Macaca fascicularis: one gene and its partner. Each later gene encodes a partner of the first gene's protein in a complex. Links are inferred from orthologs where the notes say so. Each region holds a gene or a part of one and is shown on either strand. Other genes may lie near its edges. The genes, in order: MYBBP1A and DEK.

What was found.
Region 2: MYBBP1A (region 1) and DEK share a complex: the UniProt entries of both Homo sapiens proteins name them as parts of the B-WICH complex. The link is inferred for Macaca fascicularis from reciprocal best matches to the Homo sapiens genes MYBBP1A and DEK.

What each region holds. Positions count from the first base shown.
Region 1 is NC_088390.1:4,642,512-4,646,881, forward strand, and holds the start of MYBBP1A (myb-binding protein 1A), read right to left. Parts: upstream 2,850-4,370; 5' UTR 2,790-2,849; coding exon 2,592-2,789; intron 2,424-2,591; coding exon 2,328-2,423; intron 1,187-2,327; coding exon 1,103-1,186; intron 1,004-1,102; coding exon 929-1,003; intron 828-928; coding exon 720-827; intron 1-719. UniProt on the Homo sapiens protein: May activate or repress transcription via interactions with sequence specific DNA-binding proteins. Repression may be mediated at least in part by histone deacetylase activity (HDAC activity).
Region 2 is NC_088378.1:154,648,111-154,652,398, forward strand, and holds the start of DEK (protein DEK), read left to right. Parts: upstream 1-1,310; 5' UTR 1,311-1,457; intron 1,458-1,796; 5' UTR 1,797-1,847; coding exon 1,848-1,992; intron 1,993-4,288. UniProt on the Homo sapiens protein: Involved in chromatin organization.

The DNA of each region.
Region 1 (4,370 bases):
TTGTGACGCGCCAGGCACAGTTCTGGAGTTGCACTGCCCAATACAGTAGTCACAGCCACACGGGGCTGCTGAGCGCTTCAAAGGTGGCCAATCTGAACAGGGATGTGCCTAAGTGTAAAATACACACTGGATTCTGGAGACTACCTGACAAAAAGTGTGTAAGAGGCTGGGACCGGTGGCTCACGCCTGTAATGCCAGTACTTTGGGAGGCCGAGATGGGCGGATCACAAGGTCAGGAGATCGAGACCATCCTGGCTAACACGGTGAAACCCCATCTCTACTAAAAAACAAAAAAAATTAGCTGGGTGAGGTGGCAGGCGCCTGTAGTCCCAGCTACTCGGGAGGCTGAGGCAGGAGAATGGTGTGAACCCGGGAGGCGGAGCTTGCAGTGAGCTGAGATCGTGCCACTGCACTCCAGCCTGGGTGACAGAGCGAGACTCCGTCTCAAAAAAAAAAAAAAAAAAAAGCATGTAAGATACCTCAACGGTTTTTTATACCAATGCATACTGCAGTAATATTTTAGATATACCAGACGAAGTAAAATGTTACTAAATGACACCTGTTTCTTTTTACCTTTTCGACTAAGTCACTGAAACACTTCAAATTATACATCTCTGTATTTCTATGGAACAATGCTGTTCCAGACTCTCATCCAAGCCCCGATGATGTCTCTGTAACGGGAAGCGCTGGCCGAGCCCGCACAGCGGGTGAGCTCGTACCTCGGAGAGGACGTCCAGCAGGGCCTTCCCGGGCTGCTCCTGCAAGTGGTTCTGGTACTGGGCCAGGGCCTGCAGCAGCTTCACGGACTTCATCAGGGCCTCCTGGTCCTGGTCCCCACGGAACGACAGAGGGTATGAACAGGGCACACTACTGTCCCCTACCCATTCCAAGTCAGCCTACATTCCCCCAGCCCCTCCAAAGCTCTTACCTTCACCAGCCGGCCTGACTGAAAGAGGGCGAGTACTCCGAACAGGTTTGCAAAGAGAGCAGGTCTCAGCATTGTCTAGAAAAGGATTCCAGGCACAGGCATGAGGGGCCCTGGGACTCCCCGTTCCCCAAGCCTCCCACCCCTGGGGCTGCTGACGTCCCTGGATCCACTTACCTTCTTCACCTCACACAGGTCATATTTTTCTTGTATCTGCTGCAGGATGCTGCACAACGGGAGGTCCTCGAAAGACTGTAACAGCTGCCAGCAGTTGTGTGGCAGGAGGAAGAGGGGTTCAGGAGAGTGGCCCAGCTACATCTTCACAAACTTTAACCTCCTTTCCCCTTTCAACTTCTCCCAAGAAGCCTCAGGTCCCTAGTCCCACCCCAAGGACGCCTCTGGAGCTGCTCACATGGAACCAAGTCTCATCCCCCTGCTCTGTCTCCACCAGGGCTTCTGAAAGTACTTTATGAGATGGAGTCTCGCTCTGCTGCCCAGGCTGGAGTGCAGTGGTGCGATCTCGGTTCACTGCAACCTCCACCTCCTGGGTTCAAACGATTCTCCTGTCTCAGCCTCCTGAGTAGCTGGGATTACAGACACCCACCACTACGCCCCGCTAATTTTTGTTGTTTTTTTTCTTTTCTTTTTTTTTTTTTTTTTTGAGATGGAGTGTTGTCCTGTGGCCCAGGCTGGAGTACAGTGGCGTGATCTCGGCTCACTGCGGCCTCTGCCTCCTGGGTTCCAGTGATTCTGCTGCCTCAGCCTCCTGGATAGCTGGGATTACAGGCACACGCCACCACGTCCAGCTAATTTTTGTATTTGTAGTAGAGACGGGGCTTCACCATGTTGGCCAGGCTGGTCTTGAACTCCTGACCTCAGGTGATCCGCTCACCTCAGCCTCCCAAAGTGCTGAGATTACAGGCATGAACCACAATGCCCAGCACAAAAGTACCTTCTATAGCCCCTAGATTGCTCGTCTGAAATTCTCACCCACTGGGTCTTCTCTCCACACCTGGTCTGAGCTCCCCTCAGGCTGATCCTGCAGGCCTGGGTCTTTATTGTTCTTCCCCTTGTCAAGGCTCCTCAGAGGGTGGTCTACTGCAATCAGCTGAATGCCTTTGCAGGCCTAAGGGAGCCCACCCAGCGCGCACTGCTCCCAGCAAGTGTACCTAAGAGGCCGGGCAACCCAAGCACCAAATAGAAAACCTGGCCAGGCCTTGCTCACACTTTCTCCACCTTTATGTAAGGAGACCTCCCTCAGGTTGGCCTCCAATCAACTCTGCCACTCCCTACCTCTCTCTCGGGCTGCCCCTCCGCCGCAGCTGATACACCACACCTGCCCTCCTCACACCCCACCGTTTTGACCTGGATGGCTGGGATCCTGCCAGGAGCACCACCTCACCTGTGCCAGGGCCAAACTGTAACACGGCCGGGCTGTTTCTCGCGCAACCCCGAGTCCCGTGATTAGGCGCTTCAGGGCATATTTCATCTCGGACCCCTGCAGAACCAAGCGCACCCTCGTGTTCAATGGTGAAACAAGGTGCACGCCCCCGCGCACCTTGGCATCTAGGTTCGCGACCACGTGCCCCCCGTCCCAAATCCCTGGCCCGCCGCCTCTTCCTTGCCGGGATATGCGCGGCCCCTGCCCCAGACCCCGCCACTCCACCTTCGGCCTGCCGCGCAGATACTCCAGCAGCTTCTCCGTGGCCGCAAGTCGCGTCTCCTGCTCAGGCTTCGCAATGTCCCAGAAGAAGTCTAAGAACTCGCGGCTGTGCTTCAATAGGCCATGGCGGTCGGCAGGCCGGGCGCCACTCTGCGTCGCCTCTCCAGGAGACAGCGGCTCGGCGAGTTCCCTGCTCCCCATCCCCGCCACACTCACCGAAACACAAAACACGTGTGCCCCGGGCCCAGCAGCTTCCAGGTCAGGGCATGGCGCATGCGCACCGGTAGTGTCGGCGCGGAGGCGGAAGAACCTGGAGGGTCGGGGAAACCAAGAGGGGCGGGGCCACCGAGAGGGGCGGGGCCGGGGCGGATGACCCCCCCGAAAGGCGGGGAAGGGGCGGGGCCAGGGAAAGCGGCGTTTCCGCCTTAGCTCTGAGCGGAAGTCCCTAGCTGAGCGGCGCGTGGTCTTTCCCAGCCTTCTGCTCACACCCGTACTTTCCTGGCGGCTGTGGCATCTGCCCCTTTGGAGCCCCTTGGGGGCATTGCTGAGGGCCCATCTCGGAAACAAACCGAGGTGTAGCACATCGATCCGCCTCGTCCCCGATCGGCCCCTGCGCTCCGAACGTTGAGCCATTCAACAATTACTGGGCTCCTGCTGCGTTCCGTGCTAGGCGGTCGGAACAAAGCCGCTGCTCTCGTGGAGGAACACGGAGCCAAATGCATTAAAAAGGATCATAATTATGAAGAGAATTAGGAATGCAATTCTAATTGCAGGAGCTTTTTAAACGCTGGAACGTGAATACATCACCCGTTAAAAACACGGCTAATTACTATTAAATAGGGTCTACAATAATGATTTGAGGGGTTGGTCAGGGGAGGCCTCTGTGAGGAAGTGGCTTTTGGGATGAGAGCTGAGTGACAAGAAGGGCCCCCCTTCCCCGCACTCCTGCAAGTATCTAAGGGGACGAAATCCCAAGCCTTGCGATTTACAAAGGTCCAGGGCTGGAGGGGCTGAGGCTGGCGAGAAGCAAGGTTGCATGGGCCCCGGGCTAGGATTTCATTCTGAGGGTGATGGGAAATCACTGGTGAGTTTAATGCAGGGTCAGGCTTGGATCTGATTTACATTTTAACAAGATGATGCTGGCTGCTGTGTGGGGGATGGACTGTAGGTCTGCGCAGGTGGAAGCACGGGAAGACCATTTAGAAACTGGTGAACTGGACCCAGGGAAAATGAGAACAGGTCAGATTTGGGCTAATGTGGAGCAGGTTGGGGGGGTGATGGATTTGGATGTCGGGGAAGAGGAAATGAGGGGGATGCCAGGTTTGGGACCTAAATAACTGGGTACATTGTGATGCCATTATGGAGAAGAATTTTCTTGGGAGTGGGAGGTGGAGGTGGTGGGACCAAACGGTCTATTAAATCAGAGAAGCCTTTTACAATGGCAGGGGAGGGGAAGTGCTACTTACTGGTCACCGTTGCTTCTTGGTTTGAGAAGCTGTGTATAGAGGGCTGTGGTCCAGAGAGGACCTAACCCTGGGGGGAGGTCAGGGCTAACCTTCACCTTGAATTTCCACATGCTCAACTCCAATCCCTTTGTACCCAAGCCCCTGGGGCACCTTCTCACCCTCTCAACCGCTTCTCTGCTTTGCTGTCTGTTCTAGAAAGTGAAATGAAAACATTCACCTTGCACATCTGGTGCCCCAGGAGGCAGGAGGTGAGTGGAGCAGGGGGAAGCTGAAAGATGTCAACCCAGGCTCTCCCCTCTCTGGTTGTTGGTCACCT
Region 2 (4,288 bases), on another chromosome or scaffold:
GCAGAAAGGCGCAACCCACTTCAGGTCTCCTGAGAAGTGTTCTGTCACTCGGTGAAGCTCCTGTCCACCTTGCTCACCCTCCAGTTGTTTGCGTGCCTCATTCTTCCTGGACACAGGACCAGAACTCAGGGACTGCCAAATGGTAGGACTGAGAGTTGTAACACAAATAGGGCTGAAACACAACCCCCCACTCCCAACCACATTTCAGGCAACAAGGAGAGACGAGCTGTAGAGTTTGGATAGGATTTGAGTGGAATCAATAGTGGGAAAAATGGTATACAATTTGAGGGTAGAAATGACACTGTTTGTGTATGTTTTGGAAGGGGAACAAAGGGAAAAGGGAAGATTCAAAGGAAATGTCAAATTTTTGTCCTGCAACCGGGAGTCCTAGCAAATTTCACTGATCCCATTTCCATTAAGTCCACTGAGTACAAGGATCCTTTGGGTGAGCTAGTGGTTGAAGATTTGGGAGAAAATGAAATCACATACAAAAGAAGGCAGCACTGAGCAGGGAAGATACTTCTTTGAGTGTCTGCAGTGTTGAATGTGTAAAAACATTTGCATAGATGGCCTAGAACTCAGGTAGAAGGGTCTGGACCGGCCAAATTACCTCTACTATAGAACAGTGTGTGAGAGAGGAGAGGGGAAGGAATGGGGTGGGAGGGAGCCATTCCCCTTATATTTACAGGGGTGTAAATCTATGTGGTTGGCTATGTGAACCTTTAACGTGGCAGGTAGGATCTTTTTCCTTACGGTAGACCTTACAAGCGATGGGGTCCTCAGAAATACAGCAGATTTGGAAATTATCTATCACCCAGCACGATTTCTGGGGCATTGATGAGACGGCTGATTAATACCCCTCCACCTCGGAGAAACACTGTAGATAGCGACTTCAGGGATCTCTCAACTTCTTCACCGATGCCCGCCGCGCCCCTCCGCGCCCGGGACTGCTCATCATCTTTTCCGGGAAGCGACGGTGAAGACAATAAACACGCAGGCCCCCTAGCGTCCTTCCGTTCCGCGCTGCCAGGCCGCCTCGCCTCCCGCTCCCGCCCGCCCCGCGGGACACAGCCCGCAAGCACTCCGGGGCCCGAGCGCCGACCGCACGCCAGGCGCAGCCGGGAAGAGCCCCGAGAGCGCATCCCTCTGCCCGCGGCCGAGGCGACCCCTCGCGGTCCCGCCCGCCCGGGCTTCCCGTGGAGGCGCCCGGCCACCCCGCCTCCCCCGCCCCGCGCCCGCCAACTCCCAGCTCGCGGCCCTGATTGGTCGCCGCATTCCCGCTCTCCTTCCCGAACCGCCATTTTGAAAATCTTGTTGATTCTGGGGAGCCGAGCGCGCGGCAGCGAGCGTCACGCCAGACAGCGGCCCGCGCGCCTTCTCCTCGGCGTCGGCCGCCGCCGCCTCCCAGAACCTCCTCGTGCCCTCGCGTGCCAGGCCCGTGGCGGCCGGGATCCGCGGTGAGGGCTGCGTCGGGACACCAGAGGCCCGGTCGCCCCTGCCGCGGCCGACGGGGGAGGGACGCGGCCATTTGGACGGCGGCCTGGGGCGGGGGAGGGGACGTGGAGGGCCGGCAGCTCGGGCCGGGCCGGGCCGGGAACAGCGCAGGCCGGGCGGGCGCGCGCGCGCGGGGGCGGCGGGCGCGGTTTCCCGCCTCGGGAATCCCTGGACGGCGGCGGGCGTAGCGGGAGGGAAGCCGCCCCTGGGGACTGAGCGCTACGGGAGGACGCAACTTTAAGGGCAGGTGTCCCGCGGGAAGGGTCGCATCCTTCAGGGTGGCCGCCGGGTCCTACCCGCAGGAGTAGGGGGACAGAGACGTCCGGCTTTCTCCCCGTACGAAGGTTCACAGCATGTCCGCCTCGGCCCCTGCTGCGGAGGGAGAGGGAACCCCCGCCCAGCCCGCATCCGAGAAAGAACCCGAAATGCCTGGTCCCAGAGAGGAGAGCGAGGAGGAAGAAGACGAGGACGACGACGAGGAGGAAGAGGAGGAAAAAGGTGGGGGGAGTCGCGTCCCAAGTGATGGATTTTTCAGACCGAAGTTTTTTTGTTTTTTTCCCCCAGGAAACAAGTTTTCTTGCTCTTTTCGTGCTTAGAGGCGTAAAGTCGGAGTAATTTTCAGCGAGAACGTGTGCACAATTTATCTGCTTTTGTGCTGAGCGATGGCGTAGAATTGACTTTGTGAATTCCGGTTTTTAAAGTATTTGTTACCGTAGTAGTGATGTATTGGAGTGCAGCCGACTTCTCGCCCGCTCTGAATGCTCGTTAACATTTCATCGTTTGACGGGAAGTTTGTCGGTCTTGGATTTGATTTTTTTTTTTAACTCCGTGTGTGCACCTTTGAAGTTGCTAAGTGGATGTTCTAATTTTGTCCGTTTCATGACACATCTTTTGCCTTTTGAAGTTATTGTAAGGTCTTAGTGCAGTCTGTTAAGACTGAAGTTATTAAGGCGAGACCTGTAAGTATTTGAATGCTTAAAAATATTTTTACATTTGCCAAAAAGTTTCCCTCCCTGGCAAACAGCGGTGAAAGCTGTTGCTACTTGAGAAAGTAGTTAAAAATGAAAAAAGTGAACTCTGAAAGAAAGTTAAATGTGAGCCCAGCACTGTCTCGGTTTCGAACCTGAGTCTGTTTTAAGGGAGGGCGTTATGAACCCTGATTTGACTGGAGATGTGAAACGGAAACTTAACAGAATGGAGGAGTGTGCCGCGTCAGTTTATCCAGGATGCATGCAGTGTCTGTTTCAGGTGTACCCGCTTCTTGACTGTTTCCAAACATTTAAAAATCCAAGTCGCGTCTCAGCATTCTTTGATATTAGCCTAGTCTGAATTTATTTCGTATAAGTCGCGTCTCTCAGCATTCTTTGATATTAGCCTAGTCTGGGTTTACTTCGTATATGTTTACGACTCAGGCACACTTGGGAAGAGGTTGAAGCTCTCTTCCTAAACCCGGATTTTTTTTTTTAAGCCTCAACCAGCCTGTGGTCACAATCTGGGTTAAGATTACAAGATGTGCCTTTTGTTTGTTTAAAGTGGTATGTGCCCTAAGAAGGGCATTTTTAAGTAAAGCATGGCTTTTTGAGTATAAGTTTTTATATAAACTATTGCTTAATAATATGTTATTTTAAAATTATTTTTAATACAACAGCAAAACTGGGTGCACTATCTCACTACTAGCCAAAGAGGCTCTGCACTTTTTCTCCAATTTTTTGTTTGTATTTTAGTCTTTTTGTGGGGGCAGGGTTGAGATGCCAAAGAAATGGTGAATTTTTTTCATGTCAGGAAAGAATTAGAGAAGTCATGTAAATATACTGTAAATGGCCAACGCAGTAATGCTTGGGGAACAGTTGGTAGTTGAAATAATCCCATGTTTTGTTCTAGACACATTATTTTTTAAAACATGATTTTGTAGAAAGTTTATCCCCTAACAGTTTTATTGTAGCTCTGATTTATTATTCTTTTTACTAATTTGAGGTGTTTGTGGGACATGTAGGATTGTGAAAGTTTTTATTCTACTTAACCCTGAATATTTTAACTTTAGAATTGAGGCATCATGGAAGCCAGACAGTGAAATACTTTCTGTATTAGGGTTTTTTTCTTTTTTTTTGCGTTGCTATAAAGAAATACTTGAGGCTGGGTAATTTATGGAAAATAGGTTTAATTGGTTCGTGGTTCTGCAGACGGTACAAGAAGCATGGCGCCAGCATCTGCTTCTGGTGAAAGCCTCAGGAAACTTCCAGTCATGGCAGAAGACAAAGGGGGAGCCGGCATCTCATTTGGAAGTTGGAGCAAGTGGTAGGGGGAGGTGCCACGCTCTTTTAAACAAATCTTGAGAGAACTCACTTATCACTAAGAGTTACCATGCTAAGCCATTCATGAGGGATCTGCCCCCATGATTTAATCACCTTACCAGACCTCACCTCCAACATTGCAAATCACTTTTCAACATGAAATTTGGAGGGGGCAAACATCCAAAGCATACCATTGCACCCCCAGTCCCCCAAATCTCATGTCTTTCTCACATTTCAAGATTCAGTTGTGCCTTCGCAGTAGTCCCCCAAAGTCCAGTCTTGTTTCAGCATTAACTCAAAAGTCCCAAGTCTGTAAGTCCAGAGTTTCATCTGAACATGAGTTTCTTCCACCTATGAGCCGGTGAGATCAAAAACAAGTTATTTACTCACAGGATACAGTGATGGTACAGGCATTGGGTAAAATTTCCATTCCAAAAGGGAGAAAGGCCAAAAGAAAGGTGCAGTAGGCCCCACACAGTCTGGTTTGGCTTATGTTTGGTTTT